Linked DNA regions of Saccharomyces cerevisiae S288C. The protein of the gene in region 3 interacts with the protein of the main gene of each other region in a biochemical or structural test. Each region holds a gene or a part of one and is shown on either strand. Other genes may lie near its edges.

Region 1 (2,375 bases), on a different chromosome or scaffold from region 3:
AGTTTAGCATCTTCATAACTGGATAAGTTTGCTCTCATAACATTGCCCTGAGAGTCACCAAAATACAACTTATCAAGGCTCGTTCCTTGGACACACCATATGGAAGAATCCCAGGACCAAGATCCAATTTTTTTGGGAAGCTGAAGGGCACCAGTAGTCTGATCATGCCTACAATTCAAGTCCCATACATTTATTACACCATCTGAGCTGGTACTGATTAGTCGTGTGGAGTCATCAAGAGTTCTTACTACTTTTATATTTGTTCTGTGGGCGTTTTGAATTCTTATCACCTCCTTACGATATTTACACGAATAAAAAATCAAATCACCATTACAGTCTCCGGCAACAAAATCAAAGGGACGAGACGTTTGATTGTCATCAAAACTGTATTTTGGGATGATGGGACTCATGGAGTATATTGAGCCTGTGTCGTTTGATTGTGCATTATCAAATGTGTGTAGTAGCGTAGCCATTTTTTCTGGCCCGCTGCTCAGGCACCAAAGTTTGATTTTTCTATCTAGACCACCTGTCACAAAAAGAAAGTTGTTCTGTTCATCAACAACAATGCCATTATTTATTCCATCGTGTACATTATCAGGACCACCCTCTTGTTCTTCCAATTCATAGTCATTTGACATTTCATAATGTATGGGCACTATGCACTTGATATAATCGTCGTGGTCACCGATTATTTTCTTATCCCAGGTAGTTAACTGCGCATTCACACTAATTAATACTATCGAAAAATCGTGACTTACTGATATGAATGTGTCCCCTGCAGATGGGTCTGAATTTTTCATATTAACATGTATTAGATCGCTTGCCCAATCGCTATGAACTTGCATTCTTATCGCATCGTTTTTTATGGTAGTTGCAGCAGTCTCAGGCTCGTTCGAGAGCTGTGTGTTCTTGTGCAAAATTATGGAACCATCCCTTCCTGAAGTAAGAAAATAGTTTTTACCAGGTATATCCGGGTACAGAATCTTTGTTATCGGTAAGATGTGCGCATCTTGGGAAGTGCAGTAATCTGGGGAAATTAGGCCATAACTCACTGTCAACTGATTCATTATTACCTTTCTATTTTCTCCGGCTTTTTATTGGCTTGCTCTTCTAAAGTCAGAAAAGCGTAGATTTGCTAGAATGTATCGTTTCCTCGTTAGGAATGGCTTGAACTAATTCCTGTATCTATGCAATTGCAATCCAACTACACTTATACGACGTCAAAAGGAAGGGGCGGAGCGTTCTAATTGTAGTTGCAAAAAGCGATGTAGTCGTTCTTCAAGTAGTAATTAATACCAGGATAGGACACGGTGTTATGGTGCTGGTAGTTACTTGTTATAATGTTATTATTGGGCAAAAAGAGAGTTCACTGTTTAACAATAGCAATGGGGTTTTTTTCAGTATACATTTGAACTGCAATGGAATTTGGGCGGAGGGAGCAGTAAAGGGGCGATCAGAGTTGAAAAAAAAATGCTGCCGTAAAAAAAGCATGCACGTATACACTTGAGTAAATATATTTATGTATTCATATCTCAAGATAAGATCATGATACATAAAAGCGATATAACGTCTTGAAGCTCAGGTAAGGGGCTAGTAGATGCAATGAATGACGATGAAGATAGAGCCCAACTGAAGGCTAGGCTGTGGATCCGTGTGGAAGAACGATTACAACAGGTGTTGTCCTCTGAGGACATAAAATACACACCGAGATTCATCAACTCATTGCTGGAGTTAGCATATCTACAATTGGGTGAAATGGGGAGCGATTTGCAGGCATTTGCTCGGCATGCCGGTAGAGGTGTGGTCAATAAGAGCGACCTCATGCTATACCTGAGAAAGCAACCTGACCTACAGGAAAGAGTTACTCAAGAATAAGAATTTTCGTTTTAAAACCTAAGAGTCACTTTAAAATTTGTATACACTTATTTTTTTTATAACTTATTTAATAATAAAAATCATAAATCATAAGAAATTCGCTTATTTAGAAGTGTCAACAACGTATCTACCAACGATTTGACCCTTTTCCATCTTTTCGTAAATTTCTGGCAAGGTAGACAAGCCGACAACCTTGATTGGAGACTTGACCAAACCTCTGGCGAAGAAGTCCAAAGCTTCTCTGGTGTCAGCTCTGTTACCGACGTAAGAACCAACAATAGAGATGGACTTGACGACTTGGTTGAAGACATCAGAACAACACTTGGCACCAGCTGGCATACCGACCAAAACGGTGGTACCGTTAGCTCTAACGTATCTGGTAGAAGCTTCAATAGCGGCTTCGGAAACGGAAACGTTGATGACACCGTGAGCACCACCGTCAGTGGCCTTTAGAACAGCACCGACAATGTCCTTTTCCTTAGTGAAGTCAATGAAGACTT
Region 2 (2,678 bases), on a different chromosome or scaffold from region 3:
GAGAGACGATATTCTAAGATTAAATGAAACAGTCCATATTTTGGTTGGTACTCCTGGTAGAGTGTTGGATTTAGCTTCGAGAAAAGTAGCAGATCTGTCTGATTGTTCATTATTCATCATGGACGAAGCCGATAAAATGTTATCTCGTGACTTCAAGACAATAATTGAACAAATCTTATCCTTCTTACCTCCAACTCACCAATCTTTATTATTTAGCGCTACTTTCCCACTAACGGTTAAGGAATTCATGGTTAAACATCTGCATAAGCCTTATGAAATTAATTTGATGGAAGAATTGACTCTAAAGGGTATTACTCAATACTACGCCTTTGTTGAAGAAAGACAAAAGCTACATTGTTTAAATACTTTATTCTCTAAGCTTCAAATTAATCAAGCCATTATTTTTTGTAATTCTACTAACCGTGTCGAATTACTAGCCAAGAAAATCACTGATTTAGGCTATTCCTGTTATTACTCTCATGCAAGAATGAAGCAACAAGAAAGAAATAAAGTTTTCCACGAATTTCGTCAAGGTAAGGTTCGTACATTGGTCTGCTCCGATTTATTGACCCGTGGTATCGATATTCAAGCCGTTAATGTCGTTATCAATTTCGATTTCCCCAAAACGGCAGAAACATATTTACATCGTATTGGTAGATCCGGTAGGTTTGGCCACTTGGGTTTAGCAATCAATTTGATTAACTGGAATGATCGGTTTAACCTTTATAAAATCGAACAAGAACTGGGCACTGAAATTGCGGCTATTCCGGCCACTATCGATAAGTCATTGTATGTGGCTGAAAATGACGAAACGGTACCTGTCCCATTCCCGATAGAGCAACAGAGCTATCATCAACAAGCGATACCTCAGCAACAATTACCATCTCAGCAACAATTTGCTATTCCTCCGCAGCAACATCATCCACAATTCATGGTTCCTCCTTCGCATCAGCAACAACAGGCGTATCCTCCACCGCAAATGCCATCGCAGCAGGGGTATCCTCCACAGCAGGAACATTTCATGGCGATGCCACCTGGTCAGTCACAACCCCAGTATTAAAGAATATCTAAGAAAAAATAACTACTGTGGTGAGATACGCTTTTTTTGTGATCTAATCGTCGATTATTTTTATCTTTTTTCAAATCTCCATTGTGAATTACATTACTTTGTAACCATACTTTTACTATTGATTTTGAACAAGAATCAGTCGTAATTTAATTTTTGTCTCTGCTTTTTTATTTTTTTATCCGTTTTCTCTAGTTTCTGTGCTGATTTTTTTATCCTCATTTGCGCACCGTTTTTATTACTATCACTTTGTTATTTCTTTTTGTTTCTCTAAAATTATCTCAAACCACTTCATTCTTTTACCAGTCATTGTTGTAACCAATACTACCGTCCATATCAAGAGCTCAAGTGCACTTGCCCAGTTTCATCGACACTTTCGCTTTTAGCTAACTTTTATTGTTATAATTTCCACAATAAACTATTCATTTCAACTGACAAGATGAAACTTTCTTTGAATATTCTTTCTTTTTTTGAGTTTTTTTTTTTTTAAAAGCTTTTTTTTTTTTTTTTTTATAGAGAGTAATCTCAAGGAAAGAATATTAATACTGTGTATATATATATATATATATACATATATATATAAAACTGTTTAGATAAATTAACCAACCAAAAAGATACATGTATTTTTATTATTTTTACCTATTATTTTTTACTTTGCTGCATCTTCATGTTTCCGGGAGACCAGAATTATCTTTCGGGCCAAAATATCAAAAATCAATCATACATAAAAGCGTGTTAGAATTTACATTATTGCACTTAGAAAGGACATGAGTACAGAGCACAGTAATTGTGGTGATGTTATCTAAAGAAGCGTTAATAAAAATCCTCAGCCAAAATGAAGGTGGTAATGATATGAAAATTGCCGATGAAGTAGTACCAATGATACAGAAATATTTGGATATATTCATTGATGAGGCGGTGCTGCGGTCCTTGCAATCTCACAAGGACATTAACGGAGAACGTGGCGATAAAAGTCCCTTAGAGTTATCGCATCAAGATTTAGAGCGTATCGTAGGGCTTCTTCTGATGGATATGTAAAAGTATTCAACTTACATTACATCCATGTAAAGACATAAGACATTCCTGGTTGTCTGATAAATTTAAAGCACTATATTTTCTTTCAGTCGTCCTGAACTACGTTAGTTTACTAAAGTAGTTTTTGGAGCGATCGTGCGCTCACATATACAAATATACAGTTCATTTTATACTAAACGCTTGCATCAAAACGCGCTGTGAAATGATTAAATTACTTAGTCCATATATATTATGCGATGCGAGAAAATGCTCATCTGATTAGAAATGCGGACTGGAATGACAGAATCACTTCATAAATCAATTAGAGTATATCCCCGGTTATTTGAGCCATTATTTTGAGACTGCTGTTGAGACTGGTTACCAAAGCCATAGCCTGTTTGTGTTGGTACGACGCTAGTGCTTGGTAAACCTGTATACTGACTGTTCAAAAACGGATTGTGGTTTGGATCATCCGATACTTGCCTATATCCTGTTCCTTGAGAATTGATGAATGTTCCTGTCTTCGTATGTTGGGCAGGAATACGAGCCTCCCCTACATTTCCGAATGTATCAATACCTGTTCCTGTGGCTAGTAGCT
Region 3 (3,405 bases):
CTTTCTGTTAAGAAGATATACAGTTACTATAAGAGGCATGGTTATGCAACTGAGGTAATGGCGGCTTCTTTCAGGAATTTAGATGAATTGAAGGCGTTAGCCGGTATTGATAATATGACTCTCCCACTGAACCTTCTAGAACAGTTATATGAATCAACAGATCCTATTGAAAACAAATTGAATTCTGAGAGTGCTAAGGAAGAAGGCGTCGAAAAAGTCTCTTTTATCAACGACGAGCCTCATTTCAGATATGTTTTAAACGAAGATCAAATGGCTACAGAAAAACTATCAGATGGTATCAGAAAATTCTCCGCAGACATTGAAGCACTGTACAAACTGGTTGAAGAAAAAATGTGATCATTAAGAGTAGAGGTACCTACTTATATATATAAATATATATATACCACTTTCCTTTTCGGTACTTAGTATTGAATTTGTTTGAGTATATGTGCATAGCATAGTGTACAGACTTATATATTCATTAAAATTCTGACGTATAATCAAATTCCGAGGGGTTCGTGAACAATTCTTCGTATCCCGCCCACTCTCCTTTTACCACTTTTGGATAGGTTCGCCATATCTTTCTTTCTGTCGGAACCGTCTCTGACTTTAGCTTCTTCGGTAATCGTGGCGTAATTACCTTGCGCAATATTATCATTATTCAACGCAACTTTTCCGGCTGTCTGCACTTTAGTGCTTGTGTTTGTTTCGTGTAGTTGTGGTGTCACTTCCTGAATCTTTTGGCTCCTTATGCTCGGTCTATTTGATTCATTTACCACATTAGTACTTAATATCCTCTTGGGCTTCTTGAAAGGCTTATTGACCTTCAGAGTAAGTTTGCTGATGTTGAATCCTCCCTTGGTGGCATTGTCCTCTGTCTGCTTGCGATTGGGAGTTGTGACTTTTATGTTCGAATGAACTTCTCTCGCAGTTGAGATATGATTCAAACTTGGTGCATTGTCTGAGATAAGAGGGCGTTGTTTTTGCACCGACAAATTTGAAGGATATGCCCTAACATGCGTTGCTGCCACTTGAATATCTCTATCGTACTCCTCAATAATATTTGAAATAATCACCAAAAACTGACTAAAAATCCTATGTTCTTCAATATCAAAACCTTCTGGATTTAGAATTGCTTTCAGCTCTTTTGAATTTATTTTAAATTCACTAGCTAACAAAACGTTATCCTTTTCCGTATAAAGCATGAATCTGTTGTTTAACTGAAAGTATTTCAGTCTACCATCGTGCCAGATTTTACGTTTCTTGTAAAGCTGATCAGTGTATTGGCATTCATACTCAACGATATGAGAGAGCATACTCTGTCATGCGATCCTTGGGGATTTCTTCTTTCTGGTGTTCGTGAAATGGGCTAGCTTTGGCGTGCAGTTCAAATTGAGATTTCACATCGCGAGAAGCTCTCAAACCGACTTTTTTCCCTAAATAGAGACCAATTATAAGAGCAAATAACATGCATATAAGATTGAGGTAAAGAGATATTATCGCTATTCCAACGAATATGAGCTCTTGGTGTTGAGATTTTTCCCTTGGTAGTTTCAGGAGGCTACCATATATTATTACATTGTTTTCTGAAATCTATAACATGGGTGTCTAATTATATAGAGAGTAGCAGGAAATCTTCGACGAGTAAGTCCAGCATGGAGTTACTCTCTTATTATTCCCACACCAAATCCTATTCCTATGCTAGCAAAGATAGCTAACATCTCTATACATCCTAATACAAAGCACAATGTCCTGAACCATTGTACGTCAATGTCCCATTCAAACCCTTTGAGGAGGCCGATTCTATGTTCATAATTCATTATCATTCTCATTAATCTATAATTTGAAACGCCATTATTTCCATTGATTGAAAAGAAAAAGAATAAGGGCGGAACAAAAAGGCAGATGCACAGTGTAGTTATAACCCTTGGAATACTATAAATCTCGGAGAAGCCATATATTCGGGAATCAAATGAACGTATGGAGGAGGAATCTATTCTTTGAATGGGCATTGTTTCCATTTGAAAACTTAATTGCTGATCTCGATCAATTTCTTGAGGAATTTTTTTATATTGATGTTGCTTAATACTATTGTCACCTTTTCCGACCCCAGAAGCTAAACCAGCTTCTATATTACTTTCGTATTCCTTTTCGTGTAGTTGGTTTGGACTACGCATGGTGTCCATTGCGATACCAAGAGGGACTTGAGGATTAGGAATTTTCTCTAAATCAATTTCGTTGGTATTCTTCTGCCTTTGATCTTGCATTCGAGTTCCAGAGGTTTCATTAGTTGGATTATACTGCCCATTAGAATGCACTGTATTTTTTAAAACAGCGGAAGAACTTCGCTGGTCATTAGCAAGGTCAGCTGCTTCAAAAGGCTTTAATATGTCAATTAATAGGGAATGGTTTCTTGGGGTTTTGAGGCTAGTGGACTTATTCGCTGGTATTCTGTTCCAGGCCTTTTTAGGAATTTGAAATTCATGTGGGATAAACGCTTTATCGGGAAAAGTACCATTTAGCGTGCTGTTAGGAACTCTGCTTTTTGCTACATCAACAGCCCCTTCCACAGGAGAAACAAGATCTACACCATACCGCATAGAAGGAAATGAGTATGTACCTTGTGTTTGCCTTGTAGACTTATTTCCGGAGACGGTAGCCCTTGGTCCCTGGTACGGCGCAGTTCCTTCGGGTGGTGGATAGAATAAAGAAGAAGGTCTGGTTCCCAGTTTCTCGAAGGATTTCATTGAAGATGATTCCATATGATCTCCTCTGGTCGTCCCAGCGTGCTTTTCTGCCGAACCCATATTCAACAGCACCGAAGTAGAGATGGTACCGCTGCTGCTGTGTCCATTTAGGTTAGTTTCAGCGGAAGACCCGTTTGAGGAATTTCTGTTCCTCTCATTTGAATTTGGCGGAGGTAAAGGGAATGCTGCTACTTCTGGATCTCGTCGTACTAAATCTAAAATTGAATCCTCTAGATCTCTATGTGATTCCTGATGGAAATTGTCATCTCTAGCATCTTCAAAGACTTGTTTACCATCAGTACTACTTGAATTTGTATCTCCTTTGAGGATTTCACTATACTTGCTATCATCAATATAAACATTGTATGACTTCACTTCTGATGATGGAAATGAATCAGATCCTTCGATGAACAGCGAACCAGATCTTATTCTTGCTCGCGGTTGATGGAATATTGGGTGGTCGTTCTCAGGTAAAGATGCGGATGAAGCCGTTGCCGATCCAGATGTGGATTTTGAATTTTCTGTCGTTATCGAAACATCTCTGGTTATTTTCGTCATTTCATAGGATGAAGAATGAAATTGTTGTAAAAAAAAAGGTAGTGAACGTATAAAGTTGGATGCTGTCTTCGAAAAAAAAAATAAGGTGTTAAATGAGTGG

The links.
Region 1: the proteins of MTE1 (region 3) and MHF1 form a complex in vitro, tested with the Saccharomyces cerevisiae proteins (one study listed by BioGRID).
Region 2: the proteins of MTE1 (region 3) and MHF2 form a complex in vitro, tested with the Saccharomyces cerevisiae proteins (one study listed by BioGRID).

What each region holds. Positions count from the first base shown.
Region 1 is NC_001147.6:157,571-159,945, forward strand, and holds MHF1 (Mhf1p), read left to right. Parts: upstream 1-1,602; coding exon 1,603-1,875; downstream 1,876-2,375. Other genes in the region: DUF1 (Duf1p), read right to left, coding at 1-1,067; alcohol dehydrogenase ADH1, read right to left, coding at 1,978-2,375. UniProt on the Saccharomyces cerevisiae protein: dsDNA-binding component of a FANCM-MHF complex involved in DNA damage repair and genome maintenance. FANCM-MHF promotes gene conversion at blocked replication forks, probably by reversal of the stalled fork.
Region 2 is NC_001136.10:168,792-171,469, reverse strand, and holds MHF2 (Mhf2p), read left to right. Parts: upstream 1-1,861; coding exon 1,862-2,104; downstream 2,105-2,678. Other genes in the region: DExD/H-box ATP-dependent RNA helicase DHH1, read left to right, coding at 1-1,060; ENT1 (epsin), read right to left, coding at 2,392-2,678. UniProt on the Saccharomyces cerevisiae protein: DNA-binding component of a FANCM-MHF complex involved in DNA damage repair and genome maintenance. FANCM-MHF promotes gene conversion at blocked replication forks, probably by reversal of the stalled fork.
Region 3 is NC_001139.9:577,387-580,791, reverse strand, and holds MTE1 (Mte1p), read right to left. Parts: upstream 1,317-3,405; coding exon 501-1,316; downstream 1-500. Other genes in the region: sedoheptulose-7-phosphate:D-glyceraldehyde-3-phosphate transaldolase NQM1, read left to right, coding at 1-357; BUD9 (Bud9p), read right to left, coding at 1,662-3,305.